Medicago truncatula: one gene and its partner. The protein of the gene in region 1 binds, or shares a complex with, the protein of each later gene. Links are inferred from orthologs where the notes say so. Each region holds a gene or a part of one and is shown in the gene's direction. Other genes may lie near its edges.

What was found.
Region 2: NAD(P)H-quinone oxidoreductase subunit M, chloroplastic (region 1) and photosynthetic NDH subunit of lumenal location 4, chloroplastic share a complex: the UniProt entries of both Arabidopsis thaliana proteins name them as parts of the chloroplast NDH complex. The link is inferred for Medicago truncatula from reciprocal best matches to the Arabidopsis thaliana genes NdhM and PnsL4.

Annotation. Positions count from the first base shown.
Region 1 is NC_053044.1:43,823,085-43,833,231, forward strand, and holds NAD(P)H-quinone oxidoreductase subunit M, chloroplastic, read left to right. Parts: upstream 1-5,783; 5' UTR 5,784-5,893; coding exon 5,894-6,352; intron 6,353-6,953; coding exon 6,954-7,139; 3' UTR 7,140-7,287; downstream 7,288-10,147. Other genes in the region: probable receptor-like serine/threonine-protein kinase At5g57670, read left to right, coding at 1,390-1,546, 1,623-1,720, 1,928-2,180, 2,278-3,000, 3,092-3,340, 3,435-3,598, 3,691-3,770, 3,880-4,027 and 2 more; UDP-sugar pyrophospharylase, read left to right, coding at 8,535-8,582, 8,653-8,757, 8,892-9,008, 9,275-9,415. UniProt on the Arabidopsis thaliana protein: NDH shuttles electrons from NAD(P)H:plastoquinone, via FMN and iron-sulfur (Fe-S) centers, to quinones in the photosynthetic chain and possibly in a chloroplast respiratory chain.
Region 2 is NC_053049.1:42,220,720-42,231,297, forward strand, and holds photosynthetic NDH subunit of lumenal location 4, chloroplastic, read left to right. Parts: upstream 1-5,158; 5' UTR 5,159-5,250; coding exon 5,251-5,586; intron 5,587-5,678; coding exon 5,679-5,771; intron 5,772-5,856; coding exon 5,857-5,917; intron 5,918-6,000; coding exon 6,001-6,069; intron 6,070-6,476; coding exon of another isoform or gene 6,477-6,484; exon of another isoform or gene 6,485-6,587; intron 6,588-6,601; coding exon 6,602-6,684; 3' UTR 6,685-6,734; intron 6,735-7,506; 3' UTR 7,507-7,819; downstream 7,820-10,578. Other genes in the region: L-ascorbate oxidase, read left to right, coding at 1-860; heavy metal-associated isoprenylated plant protein 23, read right to left, coding at 9,047-9,345, 9,430-9,594, 9,767-9,818. UniProt on the Arabidopsis thaliana protein: NDH shuttles electrons from NAD(P)H:plastoquinone, via FMN and iron-sulfur (Fe-S) centers, to quinones in the photosynthetic chain and possibly in a chloroplast respiratory chain.

The DNA of each region.
Region 1 (10,147 bases):
GTTATTTTTGGACGGGGTTAAATAAGTTTTTTGTCCCTATAAATATAATCAATTTCGTTTTTAGTCCTCATAAAAAAAAAGACATGTTTGGGTTTCTATAAAAAATTTCAACACGTATTTTTAGTCCCTATTAAATTAAAATTTGTTGAATTATGCCTATAATTTTAATTTTCTAAATGATTTTTCACATACTTGTTTAGAAGCATCATAAAAAGTTCTCCCGCAAATAATTAACTTAAAATTTGATTTTTTGGTCCAAATTTTCATCTATTTTATCTTGAAATTTTGAAGTTTTAAAAAAAAATTCATATTTACTTCATATCATGTTATAAAGTTCTAATTTTTATATAAGAGTTTCTTATAATGTTGTTAAGATGTCCATAAAAAATTATTCAAATATAATTAAACAACTTTTAATTTAAGAAATTAAAACTACGTGTTGAATTTTTTTATAAGGACTAAAACCTTTTTTTTTATGAAGAATAAAAACAAAATACGCTATATTTATAGGAACTTAAAACTTGTTTAACTTTTGGTGTATCCTCTTGCTCAAACAACTTATAAAATGTATTCAAAGCTTTCGTAGATAAGATTCATCAACAAAAAACATAGTATATAGATGGATGTTAACACAACACATTGAAAACGATCCAAATTAAAGCATGATGTTATTAAAATGAGAATGACATTGCAAGATTACTTCTTACACAAATAAAATAGTTGCAAGTAGTAATTTCTTATTCACACACGAAACATTCCATCATCTGAAAAATTTCCTAAATATCTCGTTTTAACAAAAATTAAATTCCCCACCCACCCATAAAATTAATTATTACCACAATTTAACTCCCATACACAGTCCTTTTTTTTATACAAAGTTGACCACCACTAACCCATTCAGACTGCATAATCTAATACAAATATTAATTATACAACTATATAATGTTTTTACCTCAAAATATAGATAATTAAACAAGTAAGAAAAATCAATGAATGGGGATATATTTCTTATTTCTTACATTCGTCAACTAATAATAATGTTAACATTTTATTATTACATGAAAAGTGGGTCCAATGGTCAAATTGAAAAAGCATGAAATGAAACATTGTTATAGCAAAATCTTGTTAAAAAAGTCACATGTTTAATGATGCTTTTAACCGAAAAGTTATGGTTGAAGCGTGTCCCTCCTCTTCTTCCCTCCTCCTAACTATTGTTGTTGTAGCATAGGGTGGTAGCTTCAAAACCAAACCTTAGTTCATGACACAAACCTTTGTGTTGTGTACGCTATATCACACAACCTAGTTCACTCACACACACACAAACAAAACAAAACAAAAAAAACATCATAGTACTTTGTCTCTGATCATGATCATCTGAAGAAAAAAAAAATGCAAAAAACTTGTGATGAGGGTGGCTCCGATGGCCGGACGGTGGTGGTGGGAGTGAAAATGGATTCACCAAGCAAAGAGCTTCTTACTTGGGCTTTGGTTAAAGTTGCTCAACCTGGTGATCTTGTAGTTGCTCTGCATGTTCTTGGGACTAATGGTGAGTGATAATTTTCATTTGTTTTTATTTTGTTGAGGTTTTTATGATGATTGATATGTGAAATGGGTTTGTGTAGAAATTGTGAATGGAGATGGGAAATCATCGTTGCTTTCTCTTGTTAAGGCTTTTGACTCTGTTCTTAATGTTTATGAAGGATTCTGTAATTTGAAGCAGGTTCAATTTCTTATTCCTCTTTTGAATTTTTTTAATTTGTAAAGATGAATATGAAAATTCATTTTCAGTCATCAAATTGATTACAAATGGTTAATGCATAAAATTTAATATTCTCACCTCCAATTATGATCCTAATAAGCAAAAAAAATAAAAATCAGTTACATTATTTCCTGTTTAAGTTTTTGTTTTTGATTTTCAATTTTGTAGGTGGATCTTAAACTAAAAATTTGCCGTGGATCATCGGTGAAGAGAATTTTGGTACGAGAAGCAAATGCTTATTCTGCATCTCATGTTATTGTTGGAAGTGTTCATGGTTTTCATAGAATTCGGTCATCTAGCTCTGTAGCTAAGTATTGTGCTAAAAAGTTATCCAAGGACTGTTGTGTTCTTGCTGTGAATAATGGAAAGGTTGTGTACAAGCGTGACAGCTTGGCAGCATCAACTGTTGCTGATGTACAAGGTTTTGGATTTTTCTTAGTTTTGGTTAATGTGGATCTCATGATTCATGAACTCAATTTAATTTACAGTTATTGATTTTGTTTTTTTGCTTTTGAAAGGGTTTGATCGTCAACGTGGAAATGGTTTGCTTGGTTCAATTCAATTGACACATGGTTTGCTTGGTTCGATTCAATTGACACTCAGTAAGAATACAAAAGTACTTAATGCTGATACTGATGAGGGAACTCGACGGATTTCGGATCACAGTTTAGCTAAGGTTTTACTGGATTCTACAGAAAATGTTAGACATCAGAGTTGCTCAATTTGTGGCTCATTGAAAGACACTTCTTGCCATCAATCTGCAGAAGAGCCTTCAGAAGGATCTGAAGTCTCATCTGGTGATGGTGGAAATGAGAATTCTTTGGCAATAGTCCCTGTACAGACAACTGATGCAGGGCAGCTTGAATTGAAACCCGGTTGGCCACTACTACGTCGGAATTTTTTACCAGACCGGCAATTACCTGATAAACTGTTCACGCGGGACCAGATCTCTGTGGTTCAGTGGGCAATGAGGTTGCCGCGTAGAAATCTTTCATACCATGTTGATCATGATAAACAAGTTAGTATTTGTGATAAAGCTCAGGGTCAATCTGTGGCTTTAGATAGTGAAAGTGGTGCCCTTATTCCAGTAGATTCGGAAATGGGGAAAACTTATTCGTCGCCTGAATGCAATTTAAAAAGTATTCCAAAAGAATTGGAGGGCCTTCATGAGAAATACTCATCAACTTGCATATTGTTTGAGTACCAAGAACTTGTATCAGCAACATCAAATTTTTTGCCTGGTTTGTTTCTTAGTATTAATTAAGTTTGACTGTGTTCGGTTTTAACAAAACCATTTTATTTTTAACAAGATTATTACAAATATGATTTCAGAAAATTTTATTGGGAAAGGAGGAAGTAGTAAGGTTTACCGAGGCTGCCTTCGTGATGGCAAAGAACTTGCTGTCAAGATCCTAAAGCCTTCGTATGATGTTTTGAAAGAGTTTCTTTTGGAAATAGAAATCATCACCACATTGCATCACAAAAACATTATTTCCCTCATCGGGTTCTGCTTCGAGAATGGCAATCTACTCTTGGTCTATGATTTCTTATCAAGAGGAAGCCTTGAAGAGAACATTCATGGTAGACAAATATACCTTCCAACACTCCCTTTAGTTTTTCTATGTGATCAAAATTCAAATAACATCATACTTATTTCTTTTCCATGCTAAATTAGGGACTAAGAAAAACCCTCGCGAGTTTGGTTGGACACAGAGATATAAGGTTGCAACAGGCGTTGCTGAAGCTTTGGAATATCTGCATTGTAAAGACGATCATCCCGTGATTCATCGGGATGTAAAATCATCCAATGTATTACTATCTGAAGATTTTGAACCTCAGGTATTTATCTATCTTCCGATTGATTGGCTTTTAATATTTCGAATTATTTGTATTAATCAATCCTTATGCTGGTCTGCTTTGATTTTATTCAGCTCTCTGATTTTGGATTGGCTACGTGGGCATCAACTTCATCATCTCATATAACGTGCACAGATGTTGCTGGAACCTTTGGGTTAGTAATTTGAAATCCATCAAAAACTTATCATCCGTTCTTATCCATACATGCTACAGAAAACGTTTTTAGAGCGATCCTGAATCATGTATTGCACCTGTTTATGCAGTTATATGGCTCCTGAATACTTCATGTACGGCAAAGTAAATGATAAGATCGACGTCTATGCATTTGGTGTTGTGCTTCTTGAGCTTCTTTCAGGGAGAAAGCCCATAAGTGTTGATTATCCGAAAGGTCAACAGAATCTTGTTATGTGGGTATGTGTCAGTGGTTATGTACTTACTTCCTAATCATTATGTATTATGGCAAAAATAATCGAAAAGATATTTTGCAGGCAAGTCCACTTATAAATAGTGGAAAGGTGTCACAATTGTTAGATCCTAGTTTGGGTGATAACTATGATCATGATGAGATGGAAAGAATGGTATTAGCAGCCACTCTTTGTATCAAACGTGCTCCAAAAGCTAGGCCACAAATGAGCATTGTAAGTGGCCCACTATCATCTTTATTCTTTATAGCAAATTGAGCCATTCATGTCATGTACAATGGACATGAAAAATTCCTTTTTTGTTTAGCTTTTCCTAAATAATGTGGTACTTGAATTCTATAGCATACTTATTAACTTTATTTTCTTGTTCTAGTAATGGATTCTCTGCAGTCAGAAGTGACTGCAGAAGTGATCTCAGCCCTTAAAAAAATTTAGAAGGTCCATATAATTTTGTTTTAACTGTCAACTGTTTGATTATTTTCAATGGCCGTGATTTACATGCTTGTGTGAATTTACGATTCCCTGACTGCAGGGAATTGAGTCCTTCGAGCACCATCAAAAGTATTCTTATTCCCTTCATTAGTCCTTTGTCCGTTGCAATTCTCATGTATTCTATTGGACCACAGGTTTCAAAGCTACTTCAAGGCGATATTGATGCAATCAAGTGGGCAAGACTAGAAGTCAATGCTTTGGAAGCGCATGAAATGCTCGATGATGAAGTATGTCCACCAAGTAATATACAGTCACATCTTAATCTTGCACTGCTTGATGTGGATGATGACTCACTCTCCATGTACAGTGTTGAGCAAAGTGTTTCATTAGAGGACTACTTGAGAGGCAGGTGGAGCCGAGCATCAAGTTTTGACTGAGCAAATTACAGCATATATTGCTTGCTACAATTTTTTTTATTCTTCTATACTTTTTATTTTAATATCTTGTAGATACTGTTTTCCTTTGCATCTTAATATAGCTTTGGCATATTCATGGTTTTTCTTAAATGGGGGGTTTAGGATGAGAGGTTGTTTGTATGTGCCCTCCTCCTTACCTTAATAATTAGGAAACTATGCCTCCTCAATTTGTTGGGCTAGTACCCCTTTTTTCATTATACTTCAAATGCTGTCTAGTTTTGCTCCATTGAGTTTTGTATAGGATGAGAAGTTGTATTTTAGAGTATTAGGATCATTGCTCTTAATCCTAATAATACGACAACAATTTTGTCGCTTGGATTCTTCCATATGTAATGTAATTTGACTTAATGCATGTTTTGATTTACTGTGAATTTAACGGAGTTAGGGTGTGTGTCACCGTGATTTTAACAAAAAGAATACTTTGAGGCTTCAATAAAATGACAGTACTACCATAATTTCATCAAATTCACTATCATTCAAACATGCACTTAAATATCATTTGTCTTGCAACCTCTTCATGCATATTTAGTTTCTCTCTGGAGATATGTCCGTATCAGGTACACTTATACAATGCTGGGCACCAAAATGGTTGAGAAATGGCCAATTGGTAAAAAATCCAAAACTGTAAGAAAATAATGTGTAGTTTCCAAAATAAAGTAAAAAAGAAAGAAAATAAAAAAATTGTAATAATGCAATGGTGGGATTATTTAAGGATATATATACAGTGTATATTTTAAAACTCATAATAAACCATATGCATGGGTAAAATTGGAAATTGCTCTTTATTTCCTGTATTTCTTCTGTGACCACAAACATTTCCTTCCAGTTATTATGTAACAAATCTTATCCATAGCAGAAGGAGTGAAGCTAAGCAATATGCACACTAATAAGTCCCACTTGTAAGTACTTGTTGGCCATTAAAGGCAAAAAACACCACTAAATCAAACATGGCCACAAGTTGTTCCTACATGGTTTCTACCAAATTATCCATACTAGGTTGGACAGGAGGAAGAAGAAAAGAAGTAAGAAACAGAACTCCATTTTTCATATCAGCTCAACAACAATCTGATGTTAAGGAAACAGATGGTGTGAAAGTAGGAGAAGAGAAAGAAATACCACAAAATCAACAAATTAATCCAAAAGGAACAAAACCAAGGCCAGTTGAACCTCAGGTGATTGTAAAAGATCAAGGCATGACCAGGGAATACGGAGGACAGTGGTTGAGTTGTGCCACGCGACATGTGAGGATCTATGCAGCTTATATTGATCCAGAAACTAGTGCTTTTGATCAAACTCAGATGGATAAACTTACTCTTATTCTTGATCCTACTGATGAGTTTGTGTGGAATCCTGATACTTGCAACTTGGTTTATTCTTACTTTCAGGAGCTTGTGGATCACTATGAGGTAGTTTCCTTAAACATAGTCAAATATATACAATAGTTTTTGTCTTAGAATAGTTTCATATATACTGAATTCACATATACTATAATTCAAGACTAGCATGTAGGCTTCTGCTTAGCAAAATATGTAGAAAAAACATGAAAACTGATGCAAAAATAAATTATCAATACATGGATAGATAATAGTCTATGCTTAAATTTAAGATTGAGAGCTCAAGTGGTTGATGAACTCTAGTTAAAAGTGAATTGTTCGGAAGTATTCGAGTTCAAATCCTGACGAGAACAATTCTTAGTCAGACCACTTTATTTACCTTTCAGGCAAACTCTGGATGGTTAAGATAAAAAAAAAAGTTCTACACTTGGCGGCCATAATTAAAGACAAAATACAAAATTTGTTTATAATTCCGTTGCTAAGTTTTAGAAATATTAACAGGAGAACTATTTTATTTTTTCTGTATCTGGTTTATTAAATTTTGTAACAGTGCTAGTTGTTAATCCAAAAACCTAGGAGAAGGAAAAATATAATTAGATTTTAGTTAGTATGTGCTAGTTTTGAGCCAATTAAGTGTTAGAATTATATTAACCTTTTTGATAATTGAAAACAGGGTGCTCCATTGAATGAATACACACTTCGCTTGATTGGTTCAGACATAGAGCATTATATAAGAAAGTTGTTATATGATGGAGTAATCAAGTATAATATGAATGCAAGGGTTCTGAATTTCAGCATGGGGAAGCCACGGATCATGTTCAACAACAATGATATCCAACCTGAAGATGCAAGTACTTGAGAAATAATTTGTGAAACACACCAAGAAAAGTGAGCAAATCATTGATGTTTTTTGTGTATGATGAATCAGTCAGATATGTTATTACAATTACTAGTTCTTTAATTTGTAAATCATCAAAGATAGAATAAAAATCTCTTGTCCAATATCAGATTTTTTTTGGGGTTGAGTAAAACCAATGCAAATGCTCAAAATAAGTAAGAACATCAATAATAAAAGTTATGAACAAAGATTAAAAATAGTCCTCTTAGCTAGCTAATAAGCATTCATGCTAACTTGTCTCTTAGTGGACTTGACCTAATAGTTTAAACAATGTAAAGAGGTCTCCACTATTAATCAAAGAATCAAACTCGGTGATATGTTGTTGAGAATGCTTAAAGTCATCGACCACAAACTTGATATCCATCTCAAAAAGCGCATCTATTAAATGTCAAGAGGAGAGCCCTAGTGGAACATCACATTGGATCAAGAGCAAGTTGGACACCAATCTTAATTTAAAATCTTAAGGTATTATGTATATTAGTCCTCTAACTTATATATTTTTCAATATTCAGTTATCCATTTAATATGGAGTTTCTGACTCGCTTGTTACACAACAATCTTCCTATCAAGTGGAAGCTTTTTCATTCCATTTGCATTGCCATTGCCACAACATCAATGAAATAGACCATCGAACGATTATTGTCAGAAAGACTTTCGATACAAGGAGTTTGATCCTTTAGTAACTATCGTCTTTGTTATTGTTATTGGGTCATGAGGGAAGGCATGATAGATCATCACAAAGGAGAATGTATTGGTTCTCAAACTTTAAGATAAAAATATTGAAATGGTTACACATAACATTGTGATTTGATTCAAACCTTATTTTCAAGATTTCATTAATTTTTATCATTTTGCTTATATATATCTAAAATCTTTTTGCAGTAGTGATATATCTACAATCTTTTAAAATAACTTAAATTGACCAAATTTTGCTTGAACACAAATATAAATAAAAAAGGTTTAGCCACATCCACTTAAATGAAGAAAAAAAATTAATCATATTATTCAATTTTTTTAATTATATATGTGTCTAACCATTTTTTATCTGTGTTTGCGGAAAAAATAATTTATCCTTAAAATTTTGGTCATAAGGACAAAAAAAAAAAAAAAACTTATCTAAGTTGTTTGTACTAGGGTGCCACGTGCGTGGTATGGGCCCAGTTAACAACCGAAGGTGAACCGTGGCTTGAGGTGAAATGTAAAAATTAGATCGACATAATTACTACCGGCACGACAACGCTGATAAAACATTTGATTTGACATCACCTACGTTGGTGTCTTTGTCTCTTTTATTATTCTGTTTCTTCTTCTCCACCGTGACCGTCTTCCACTCTCACTCTCGATCTCAATTCCACCATGGCTTCCTCCCTCGGCGACAATTTCAACCTTCTCTCCCCGAAACAGGTTCCTTTCTATTTTCTCTAATCTTTTTCATATTTCAAGTAACCCTTCTCATTCTCGTTCTTCGAATCAGCAAGAGTTGGTGAAGATACTATTGAACAATGGCCAAGACCATCTCTTCCGCGATTGGCCGGCACCCGGCGTCGACGACGATGAGAAGAAAGCATTCTTCGATCAGGTTTCAATTCAATTCAATTCCCATAGCATAGATAGATCTGTTCTTTATATATATATATATATATATATATATATATATATATATATATATATATCTTATCTTATCTAAACGACACTCCGTTTTTTGTTTCTTAGCTTGTTCTACTCGATTCTAGCTACCCTGGTGGTTTGGAATCTTATATCAATAACGCCAAACGACTCTTGGCTGATTCCAAAGCTGGAACTAACCCTTTTGATGGCTTCACCCCTTCCGTAAGTCACAATTATCACTTTTCTTATATTTCTTTCTTCCTCTTTATTTATTATATTTTCAACATTCCACATTTTAATTACTATACTATTCAATTTTAAGATTAATTTCCATGCAATGTTGGTGTAAAACTTTTTACACATGCATCCAGTCAAAGTGTCACTTTTCTTAAAATATCTCCAAAATTATCTGTATGACATGATCTGTTCTTTTGTGCATGTTCGTGGAATGGAATAATGTGTAAGACTGTTTAGTAATGATTTTGCAGGTTCCAACTGGTGAGACATTGACGTTTGGTGATGAGAATTTCATCAAATTTGAGGAAGCAGGTGTGCGTGAAGCTCGCAGAGCTGCTTTTGTTCTTGTTGCTGGCGGTCTTGGTGAGCGTCTAGGATACAATGGGATTAAGGTATACTACATTTATCAATTTTTTGCTCTATCATTCTCTGTGATGATCACATCTTGTATATATAAGTTTGTTGTTGTTTTGTCAAAATCAACCAACATCCATTTTATGGTGTTAGGTTGGTTGGTGATCATTGTGAGCTTATCAACTTAAATTTTATGAATACCAAAATTTTCAATGCAGCCATAGAGCTAGCTTAAACTAAATTTTAAGGGAGCCAAATTAAATGCTACCTACATTTGGAATATTTTTGGTGGATCTTGATTAAATGAAGGTTATGATGAGAAATCTAATTCCCGAACACATTATTATTACATTATCTGGAGAAGAAGCCATGTGTTTAGACTAGGATGACCCTGTTAATAAATACAATATCTAGTCTAGGTGTACGGTAGACCCATTCAAAGTACCACTGATTAGCTTTCCTTTAATTCATACATGATTAAACATTTCAATTTCATTTTCTTGATGGGGTGTACTCTCTCATCTGCCACTGCAAGTCTCTCTCCTCTTGAATCAGAGGTTTTTTTTTTTCTCCAATAAATAAATTTTTATTTTAAAAACTTGTGACTCCCTCCATCACAACAAAGCATGAGAAGGGATTTAATTACTACTCCCTCTGTCTCATTTGAAGTGTCTCATTTGAGTTGTGCGCGGTTATTAAGAAAAAATGATTAAGTGTGTTGGTTTCAATGATAAAACGAGTTTCATTTTATTAATTGTATTTAGGTGCGC
Region 2 (10,578 bases), on another chromosome or scaffold:
TCAAAACTGATCAAGACCCATCAAGAAACTACTGGATCACCTCAAATGTTGTCAGCAGAAACAGAACAACCCCGCCTGGTTTAGGCATTTTCAACTACTACCCAAACCATCCAATGAGGTCACCACCAACATCTCCACCACCTCCACCAGCTTGGGACAATGTTGAGTCAAGACATACTCAAAGCCTTGCAATCAAAGCTCACCAAAATTACACAATCAAACCTCCAACAACCTCAGATAGAGTCATAGTTTTGCTCAACACACAAAACACTATAGACAATGTTCGTCATTGGTCTGTTAACAACGTATCATTTTTCCTTCCTCACACCCCTTATCTTGTTGCACTTAAAGAGAATATAACTGGTGAATTCAACCAAACACCTCCACCTGATGGCTATGATTTTAATAATTATGATATTTTCAGTGTGGCTAACAACACAAATGCTACTTCTAGCAATGGAATTTATAGACTGAAGTTCAATACAACTGTGGATATTATACTTCAAAATGCAAACACTATGAATAAAAATAACAGTGAGACACATCCTTGGCATCTTCATGGACATGATTTTTGGGTACTTGGATATGGAAAGGGAAAGTTTGATGCGAACAAAGACCCAAAAAATTATAATTTGGTGAACCCCATTATGAAGAATACTGTGCCAGTGCACTCATTTGGTTGGACTGCTTTGAGGTTTCGATCAGATAATCCTGGTGTCTGGGCTTTCCATTGTCATATAGAGTCTCATTTCTATATGGGAATGGGAGTGGTTTTTGAAGAAGGAATTGAAAGGGTTGGGAAGCTACCTTCATCCATCATGGGTTGTGGCAAAAGCAAAGGCTTCTTAGGCCATAATTAAACAAGCAATTTCAATTTTTCCTTTGTTACTTTAGAACATCCAATTCTTTTCTTACTCCAAAAGAATCATCATGATATATTTTAATTTTTTTTTAAAATTTTAGTATTATACAAATTGTGCTGGCCTCATTGTATATATTGTAAAGTGTAATTGTAATGATTCCTCAGACTCTTTTCTGTGAAAAATGGTTAGAGCAACTCAAAATTGCATAATTGCAGTAGACTACTACTTCTCTAGTCTCCTCCGGTTACTGTCACTGCCAACTTTCACATGAGTTACATACCAACTTTACAAAGTCAATCCCTTAGGTATATCTTTGACCAAGTAGCTACTTCTATGCAAGCTATCTTCTGTCATTTTCAATACCTACCATTTATTTATTGTATTTTCTTGGTCAAATATGATATGCACCAGCTAGCCCACCATACAGCTGGAATTTTGGATTACCTTGTAATCTAGGAAAGTTTTTTAGATCAACATAGATTTATGGCTTAATTATATAAATGGTCTTTTAAATAATTATGAAATTTTAATTTGGTCCTCTTATTAATTTTCACCCCAATTTAATCCTTTAAATTACCTCCGTCTATCAATTGAATCCATTCTGATAAATCTTGTGGAAAAAACGTTAACATTCATCGTGTTCATCATCAAACCCAACAACATTCATCATCTTCATCAATAAACCCAGCAACATTCATCACCTTCATCATCAAAACTCAAAAAAAAAAAATTTAACTATGCAAATCCTGAAGAACGAATTCCAAAACAAATTCATGAACGTTTTTGGTACAAATCAAGACTAATTCATCAAAATCAAAACGAACTCCAATCAATCGCGTTCTTCTTCTTCGTTCTTCAAAAATTGAGATCTGGGTTACAATGAACAAGTGAATTTGCCTAAAAAGTGTTACCACTGGTCAAGCAATCCTATTTAAGTAACTTCAGAGAGAAAAATTATATTGTATCTCATTATTAAAGTACATAGCTCATTATTCAAGTTCGGTATTTAGCCAACTTGAATTAATCAGTTAGAAGGATTCCTTCCTCCCATTAAATACCTTTCAAAATGTACTGATCATTAACCTTTGCATAATCAAACGAATATTTAGAAGGATTCATTGCACATTTATTTCACTTCAGTAAATAAATTCAAATGGACTCGTTCAATTTGACTTGTTACTAAATCATTTAACCCAAAAATTATCTCTGGACCCTAAATATCACTCTAGCAACTTGGAAGACAACAAGAACGTGCTAAGCAGAAAATATGAATTGATAAACAAGATAATGTCAAGAAAATCTGTAAAGACTAAATCCACAAATTGTTTTATTGAAGAACTATTTAAGCAACATAGTGTAGTTGGATAATAGTGTGAATTAACTACAAATTCAAAGTTTCACTTCATGAGACAAAGAAGTGCAGCACAAACTAAAAAGAACTAAGGAACCGTGTGAATTAGCTACATTAGATGGACAACAGTGTAAACTTATTAACTACAAATTTCATAGAGATTCACTTCAGCAGAGAAAGAACTAAACCGCAATCTTCATCATCATCATCGAAGCATCGCACTCACAGGCCATGGTGATCTTCAATCTCAACCATTGGCTTGACCTGAGGCATGGGAGACACACCTGCTGCAGTAGTGACATCAGCAGCACAACCACCACGTCCATCAGGAGCAGAGCAGGTTTCTTCCGTGGCCTGACCAGCAGAATCTGATACAGTAGCAGCTCTGGCTCCGACACCCGCTCCTTCCGATGCTCCTTCACCTCCTAAGATAGTATCATAAGCAGCCGCAATAGGATTGATATGCGGAAAAGGCAAATACACGCTGTGCACAACAATCTTCACATTGCGGATGACGTCAGCAACCTTAACTCTCACATAGTTAATCCTCATCGGCGCTGATGTCACTCCTCCGCCGGAAGTAGTGATCAGAAGCGGCTGACCTCGCTCCAATGTAGGCAGAGCAGTTCCAACCGGAAGCTTCTCAAGATCGGCGATTGACAAGTAATGATTCGGTATGATATGGAATCGCACATTGCTGATATACGATTGAGAACCGGAGAATATAGAAAGATCATCAACAGCGAAAATAGTCATGTTGTTGAGAGTTATGAGCTCTGCGTATTTTACCTTCATAGCAAGGGAGAGGATGCTGAAACCGTTATTACGGAGCCTTACCATTGCATCTCGTAGCATGAGGCGCATAATAGCAGGGAGCACGGTGGCGCCGGGAGTGTGAACATGAGCACCGGAACGGTGATCAGGATGAAACGGAAAGGAGAGAGAACTCATTCTCTCAACGTCGCAAGAAAACGGAGAAAGCTTAGAGGCGAAACCTTGAAGGCCGTGAACAACAACCATTCCGTTGTTGAATAGATCCGGTTGAGTAATCTCAACGCCTCCGATGAAGACTTTTGGAGCACTGCCGGAAGTGTTGTTCTGATGAATCGACTCGGAAGTGACGGTTACGCAACGGCCGGGACTGAGAGTCTCAATCTTGGTGCCAAAAGCAAGTCGCCGAAGATATTCGATGGTGAATATACCTGGAACTATGTGTTCACGAAGGAGATTCGGAACAGAGCAAGAAAAGCAAGTGCGAAGCGATGCATCAGAGGGAGCGAAAATGGTGAAAGGACCGGTCCAAGCAGGGGAAGTGGTGGTTGCAGCGTCGGAGAGCGACGGAGCGGCGGTTGCAAGCTCGTGAAAACCGAGATGAGACAAGATCGGTGGAAGTAATGCAGTTTGAGAGAAGAACGAATGTTCTTGAAGATCGTGCGGAGGTGGCGGTGGGAATGAAGCTTCGATTCCTTCAGTGGCGGTGACCTCGTCACCGGAAAGCATGGCGGTGAAGAAGATTGCGAAGAAGAGCATAGAGAATCGCATAGAGGAAAAGGTTGAAGAGTTTTCCATGGTGGTTAAGAAGATTCAGAGGTTTCAAGTCTCAAGAGAGTGAATTCGAGTGTGAATTGAATCGAATGAAGATGAATTGCAGGGTGAAGTATTTATATACGCGCGCGCGGGGAAATTAAACGGTTAGAAGAGAGTATTGTAAGCGTGTGAGTTTGTTACGCGGTTGTTATAGATTTAAACGTTTTTGAATCTTAAGAGATGTAAGCATGCGAAAGATATTCATATCTTACTATTTTATTTTTACCTATTAAAATGAAACGAGAAAAATTGAAGCTCTTTTTTTTAAGGAGAAAAATTAAGCTATTTTTTTTATGGAAAAAACTAAGCTCTTATCTACTCTATTTTTTTATTTATATATTAATATCAATATTATCTTAAATGCTTTTTATAAGTGTTTGTGGACCTAAATAAACAATAAACTTTTTATAAGTGTTTAAATGCTGCTGAGTGTCTGAGATTATATTCGAACACATGACTTTAGTTAAGTTAGAAAAGACTCGTATAATCTCATCTAAACATTTTTTAGCATATATTTTTAGTCATATATCAATATGTGTAACTAATTTTTTTAATTTACACACGTGTCTATATTTTTTTCATATATCAATAAGGAGCCTTCTAAAGCCTACAAATACTATAAACAAATTTAACTTAAATGTCTTTTTTAACAATTTCAATAAGTTATATTGCTCTTATTTGACAAGTTATATCTCATTTGAAAATCATTCTCTAATATTATGCGAAGTTGAAAGAGATTGAGTTTGGGTTAAGTAACAATGACATGTTTTTCTTATTATACATTGTAGTTTAGTTTAATTTGGTTGATAAAATAAAATCCGCATGCTAAACTAAACTATATGGTTGAGTCAAAAAATTGTCCAATATTCGAAGCAAATAGAGTTTTTTATGATTTTCAATTTATATTGGTTTTGGAGATAAGGTGGAAAGAGAAAGGTAAAATTATACTTTTAATCCCTTAACTTAATTTCGAATGATAGTTTGATCTTTTATCTTTTTTTTCATTTCAATTTTGTCATTTTAAGTCATTTGCATATGGATTTTCAAGTTTCAAAAATTCATATTTTTATTTTCTTATGACCTCTCAATTTTCAAATATATGGTGTTTTGCATATGAATATTAGATTTGAAGTTTGAAAAATTCATATGCAAAGAACAAAAATGACAAAATTGAAATGAAAAAAATAAATTAAATGCCAAATTGTTATGTTAAATTAAGTTAAGGGACTAAAATGTAATTTTGTCTCTATAAACTTGCAGATTTTTTTTTTGAGTGATGAAACTTCCCAGAAATTTTTTATTTGTGTTTTTGAGCTGATATATATTGATTATTATAGATTAATTTGAGCCACATGGTGTAGAAAGGATGGTATGCCAAATGGAGTTACTCATATCATCAGTCTTTGATATATCCTTAGAGAACTATACACACACACACTAAGATAGAAAATGGCACTCTCATTCTCACTCTGTTCAGGCACAACCGTTCATAACCGTTTTCCTTCTTGTATGAAATTGAATGGTAAAAGTTATAAAGTATCCGATAAAGTGTTATGTTCTGCACGTAACGGTAACGAAAAGAAGCCGTTAGTGGGAATTGGTATTGGAATTGTAGCAGCATGGGTAATGGGGTTAACAGCGTTGGATGCAGATGCAACGAGAATTGAATACTATGCTACTGTGGGAGAACCAATGTGTGAGCTTAATTATGTTAAATCTGGGCTTGGTTACTGTGATTATGTTGAGGGTTTTGGTGATGAAGCTCCTTTAGGAGAGCTTATTGATGTAAGCTGTTTATTACTCTTTTACTCATTTTCTATATGCAAAAATTTAATTAGTTAATTAACGATTGATATTGTTATTATTATACATTGCAGATTCACTATACAGCTAGGTTCGCCGATGGAATAGTATTTGATAGTAGTTATAAACGTGCTAGGCCTTTAACTATGCGTATTGGTGTTGGCAAGGTGGATAAGTTTTTCTTACAGTTAAATTGATTTGGCTATGTATTTTTTATGAGTTTGTAATTATAAGGTTCAATGGGATTTTCAGGTAATAAGGGGATTGGATCAGGGAATTTTAGGGGGTGAAGGAGTACCTCCAATGCGGATAGGTATTAAATTTAATTTGAAGTGTTTAAGTTTCATTGTTCATAGTATATGACACTTTCTAAATTTATTTACTATTTTTACTTAGGTGGGAAACGCAAACTCACGATTCCTCCATTGTTAGCGTATGGTCCTGAACCTGCAGGCTGTTTCTCAGGTCTCATTCATTATTAATTATTACTGTGTTATTATGTAATTTGCTACTAAACATGGATAACTACTTTAATCAAACCTGAAACTCAAAAATCTAGTAGACACGTGGATGAAGAAATGAATCATTAATTGTGTATTTGGTCATATGCATTGCGCGTATGTGCCCCGGTATATTTTCTACCACTGTAAAAAAAGTAGCTACAGTGCTATGGAATTTAAATAAATTGCTATTGGTTCGTGATACGCTGTTTAGAACAAAGTGATGTCAAATAGTAGCTATGAAACTCTGTAACTTAATAGAGTTTGAACAAACTGCTATATTCCACGATCTACACTTGAAAACACTTTTTTCTACTTACACAGCTGAATTTGTTTTTGTGTGCTTGTCTGTGTGTTTTTCTCAATGGAAAGGAGTATAAGACCATGGATTTTATTAGGCTGGGAAGATATTGAATGCAATCTTATTATTATCAGAAGAAGAGAATCATTATCATTAAATATGTTAGATTTTGACAGTTTTGTCGCTGATTCAATAGGTGACTGCAATATACCGGGTAATGCAACTCTTCTGTATGATATTAAATTTGTTGGTCTTTATTCGGGCAATCGAAGTCAATGAAGACAAAATTGATCGAATACGTATACGTATATGAACCGCACGTGGATTAGGTGAGTTTCCTGATCTTTTGAGAATATTTTATTCTTAGATTAGATAGACAAATACTACCCAGCACTCAGATTGTTTTATCCAGCTTACTTTCTGTTTGCTCTCCAGCTAAACATGTTTGTTTACTTTTCACATTATCATAATTGTAAGAAAATGCTTCCAATATTGACCATGATCAGGAAGCTTTTATGCATATCTAGGTATATGCAGAACCTTCATGAGAAAACACAGTATGCAACATTAAAATTAGCTGTCACACATGATCATGGTTAAAGCATATGCTACTTAAAATTTTGACACAGGGTCCTTTGTGACCATTTTTCTTGTGCAATATACAAAATGATGTTTGAACTCAGATGCAAACTAGTTAAATTCATCATTATTAACCTTATCCCAGTGGCTTGACTTATTCATCAAATTTACAACACTATACTGTTTGACGACCGAGTGATATTTAAGATGAATGAGGTTTTGTTTACTCCCTCCGTCCATATATGTAAGCACCTTTTGCCTCTAATAAAAGGGTGCTTACATATAGGGACGGAGGGAGTATAATCTAATCGATCTTTTATAAAGTTGCGTCAGATAATCTACTCAGATAAAAGTAGACTTGCATATTTATAAACTAAAACATTTTTCTATGGAATAATAAAATGCCTTTAAAACTATAATGATATGCTGGTATCCATGCATTCTCTGATCTTGATTATCTAAAAATAGGGATAATCATTATTTTTAATAATTTTTTTGACTGGTTATTTTTAATTGTTTTAGAGTAATGAAATGGACTTTTTTTGCTGGTGAGTGTGGATCGACTTGTTAGGCAGATTCTCCTTCCTGGTTCCAGCTCTCTCAAATTACTATTCCTGTTTAGTGCAGTCCGACATGATTCACCTGAATAGAATACCCCTTTTAAGAGTAAAGAGGATCCAACCCTGGTGCGGTGATATATATTAGACATGTCTGGTAACATGATGCAACTTTTTGTATCTTTATTGTAAATGTAATTTTCAATAGTACACTCTGAATGATGAATTAATTAATTCTTTATATGATAAATGTTATCCCCTATTACTTGTATCTTTAATCCATTTGATCTTTTTCCTCTATGTGCTGTCTGCAATGAAATGCCAAAGATGAATCATGATTTTGGATGGTTAACAAATGAATAGTTAAAATGTACAATTTCTTGGCAGCTATGTTGACTTGATCAACCATTCTTTGGGTTTATCATTAGAAATATGTTCCTAATGATATCCTAAATTGTATGCAAAATTTCTTTAGAGTATTGTTCAACTTGGTAGGCAAAATTCTGGTGAATCCTCTAAACTATACCGCTCAAGAACAATTCTGTTGAATCCTCTAGTCTGCACTGCCCTGAGTTACATGTGCCTTTACACTTTGTTAGGATCTGGGAAAGGAATAGGGAAAACGGGAAAAGAGCAAAAGGGATAAAGCTAATTTCTGCTTCACGTTGATTAAAAGAAGAGGATATGCCTTCCTTGAAAATTGTTTTACTTGTTAGCTCCTGCTTCTTTTGTTTTGAATTTATCTTCAAGAATGTATGCTTTTTTCCTAGGTGAGAGGGGCCAAATGTTCCAGAACTAGGGAGCAAGCAATCGTGCAGATTAGGCAAAATGAAATGCCAAATGCTGATAATGTTTGTACTATTGGAAAATGAGTGAACCTGAACCCTATAACTTTTGAGCCTTTAACAGTTACATGCACCCTCCTTTATGTGTGCCCTTCATTTTTTATTATGGTGTGACCTGACCTTCGTTAAGAACTAAGAAGTATTGAGGTTGCGTGTTTTACCCCTCCTATAGTGATCTAATTACTATTTTTCCTCCTCAACTCCAATCACACAAGAAAAGTTAAAAACTTTAATCACACATTCAGACATGTTTTCTTTATTTACCATTTCAACCCTGCAGGCCCTATTTATTTGCAATTCACATGATTGTTTTACTTTTCTACCCAATCCAGCTTTCCTTTCTGGGAGAAAGAAGGACATAGCAGAGACAAACAATTTCCTATCCTAGGTCAAGTCCAAGGGCTCAAAATTAGCTACTGTAAAACTGAAAGCAGGTACAGTGTACAGTTCTGGAAAACTAACAAAATTAGGAAACAAAAGCAATGATAACAGCAACGTCTCTTCTCATCCTTTTTCATGTTAAGAAAAGTCCATAATGTAGGATAACGAGCTTGAAAATTGACCAGAAAAAGTAAACTAGAAAAATTAAAAAAAATACTAGATTAAAATTTGAAAAATTTACAGTGCCAAGCTTAGAAAGAAAAAAAACATCTGTTTTGTCTACATGATAGAACATGCATTTGGGTTTTCATCACTGAACATGTTGACATAAGGGTCTTCATATTTTGTCATGGTTCCAGTGGTTGGAGCATTCTCCACTCTCCTCACATAACCAGGAGGAGCCTTCTTGTCATAAGAAGAAACAGCATATGGTTGAGCCACCAAGTTGTATGGCACATAAGGCCAAATTTCAGCCTTCTTCCCTGTTGACTTAGCCTTCTTCAGCACCTTGTTTGGATCCACAAACCCAGTCACAGTCACTTTTTGCTGTTTACGGTTTATATCCACTGATTGTACCCCTGCAATCACCATTTCATTTCAGCAACTTCATGTTGAAAATGATAATATAAAATGATGAAAAGTTAAAAAGAATGTTACTTTACCACTTAGTGAAGATAGGGTTTTCTTGACCTTAAGCTCACAACCATCACAGTCCATTCTAACCTTTAGCTCCACAGTTTGTAACTGCTTCTTCTTCTTCTTGAGGTGGTGGTGACCACTGCTCACTAGATCAGACAAATATTCCAAAGTGCCACCAACTCCCATTTCTGTATATTCAAAAGTAAAATGGTTACTGAAATGGTATATACATGAAAATAAAATGAACACAGCTTGCCAATTTATATAGAACTTATTTAGTTTAGTGTCTCAAAGAAGACAAAAACTATAAACTAGAGATTACTGAAGTAGATTGAAAAGAGTTTTTATGAGAGTTGTACAGGGGAGCATGTATATGTTTGTTGGTGGATTTTGTCTTAAATGTATAGAGCATGATTTTTTATTGAAAAATAAAAACGAGGAAAGCAACTCAGGGAGTTCTGAAACAGAACATGCTACAAGGAACTTTCTTTATGGAAAAAATGGATTCCTTCCTTACCTTGCAATTATGGATAAATAATGCTGCTCTTGTGAAGAGCTTTTTTTGGGTGAATATTGTAAAGAGCCTTTTACTTTGGTTTGAGCTCGTATGCATATGCCTACTTATAGAGAGCTTCCTAGTGATATTTGAACAACCATTTTAAACAATTTTTGTGACAACTTCTTTTTTCTCACTTTTCATTGGTCAAAAACAATGAAGAGAGAAAAATGAAGAGAGAGAATAAAAACATACTACCTCCGTTCCTTTTTAATTGTTACATTTTGACATTTTATACAAACCAAGACAATCAACAATTGATACTACTTTTGATGCAATAAGCTATACTTTTACTATAATGACCTTATTCATTTAATATCTCATTTCATATATTTCTATCTCCGTAGTAAATAACTAAGGATAATATTGGTAAAACAACATTTAATGTTGCATTGAAAGTGACAGTTAAATAGAAACAAAATTTTTCTCCAAAAGTGACACTTAAAAAGGAACGGAGGGAGAAAATTATTAAAAAGTTGTCACAAAATGGTTGTACAAATGTCATTTCTCTTACTTTAGTATTATTCAAACTGAAGAAGGTAGTGGGCCCCACCAACACCAGTTCGTAAACAAAAGTGTCTTTTGGTACTCTTGGTTTTGCCTACTTTTTTTCACT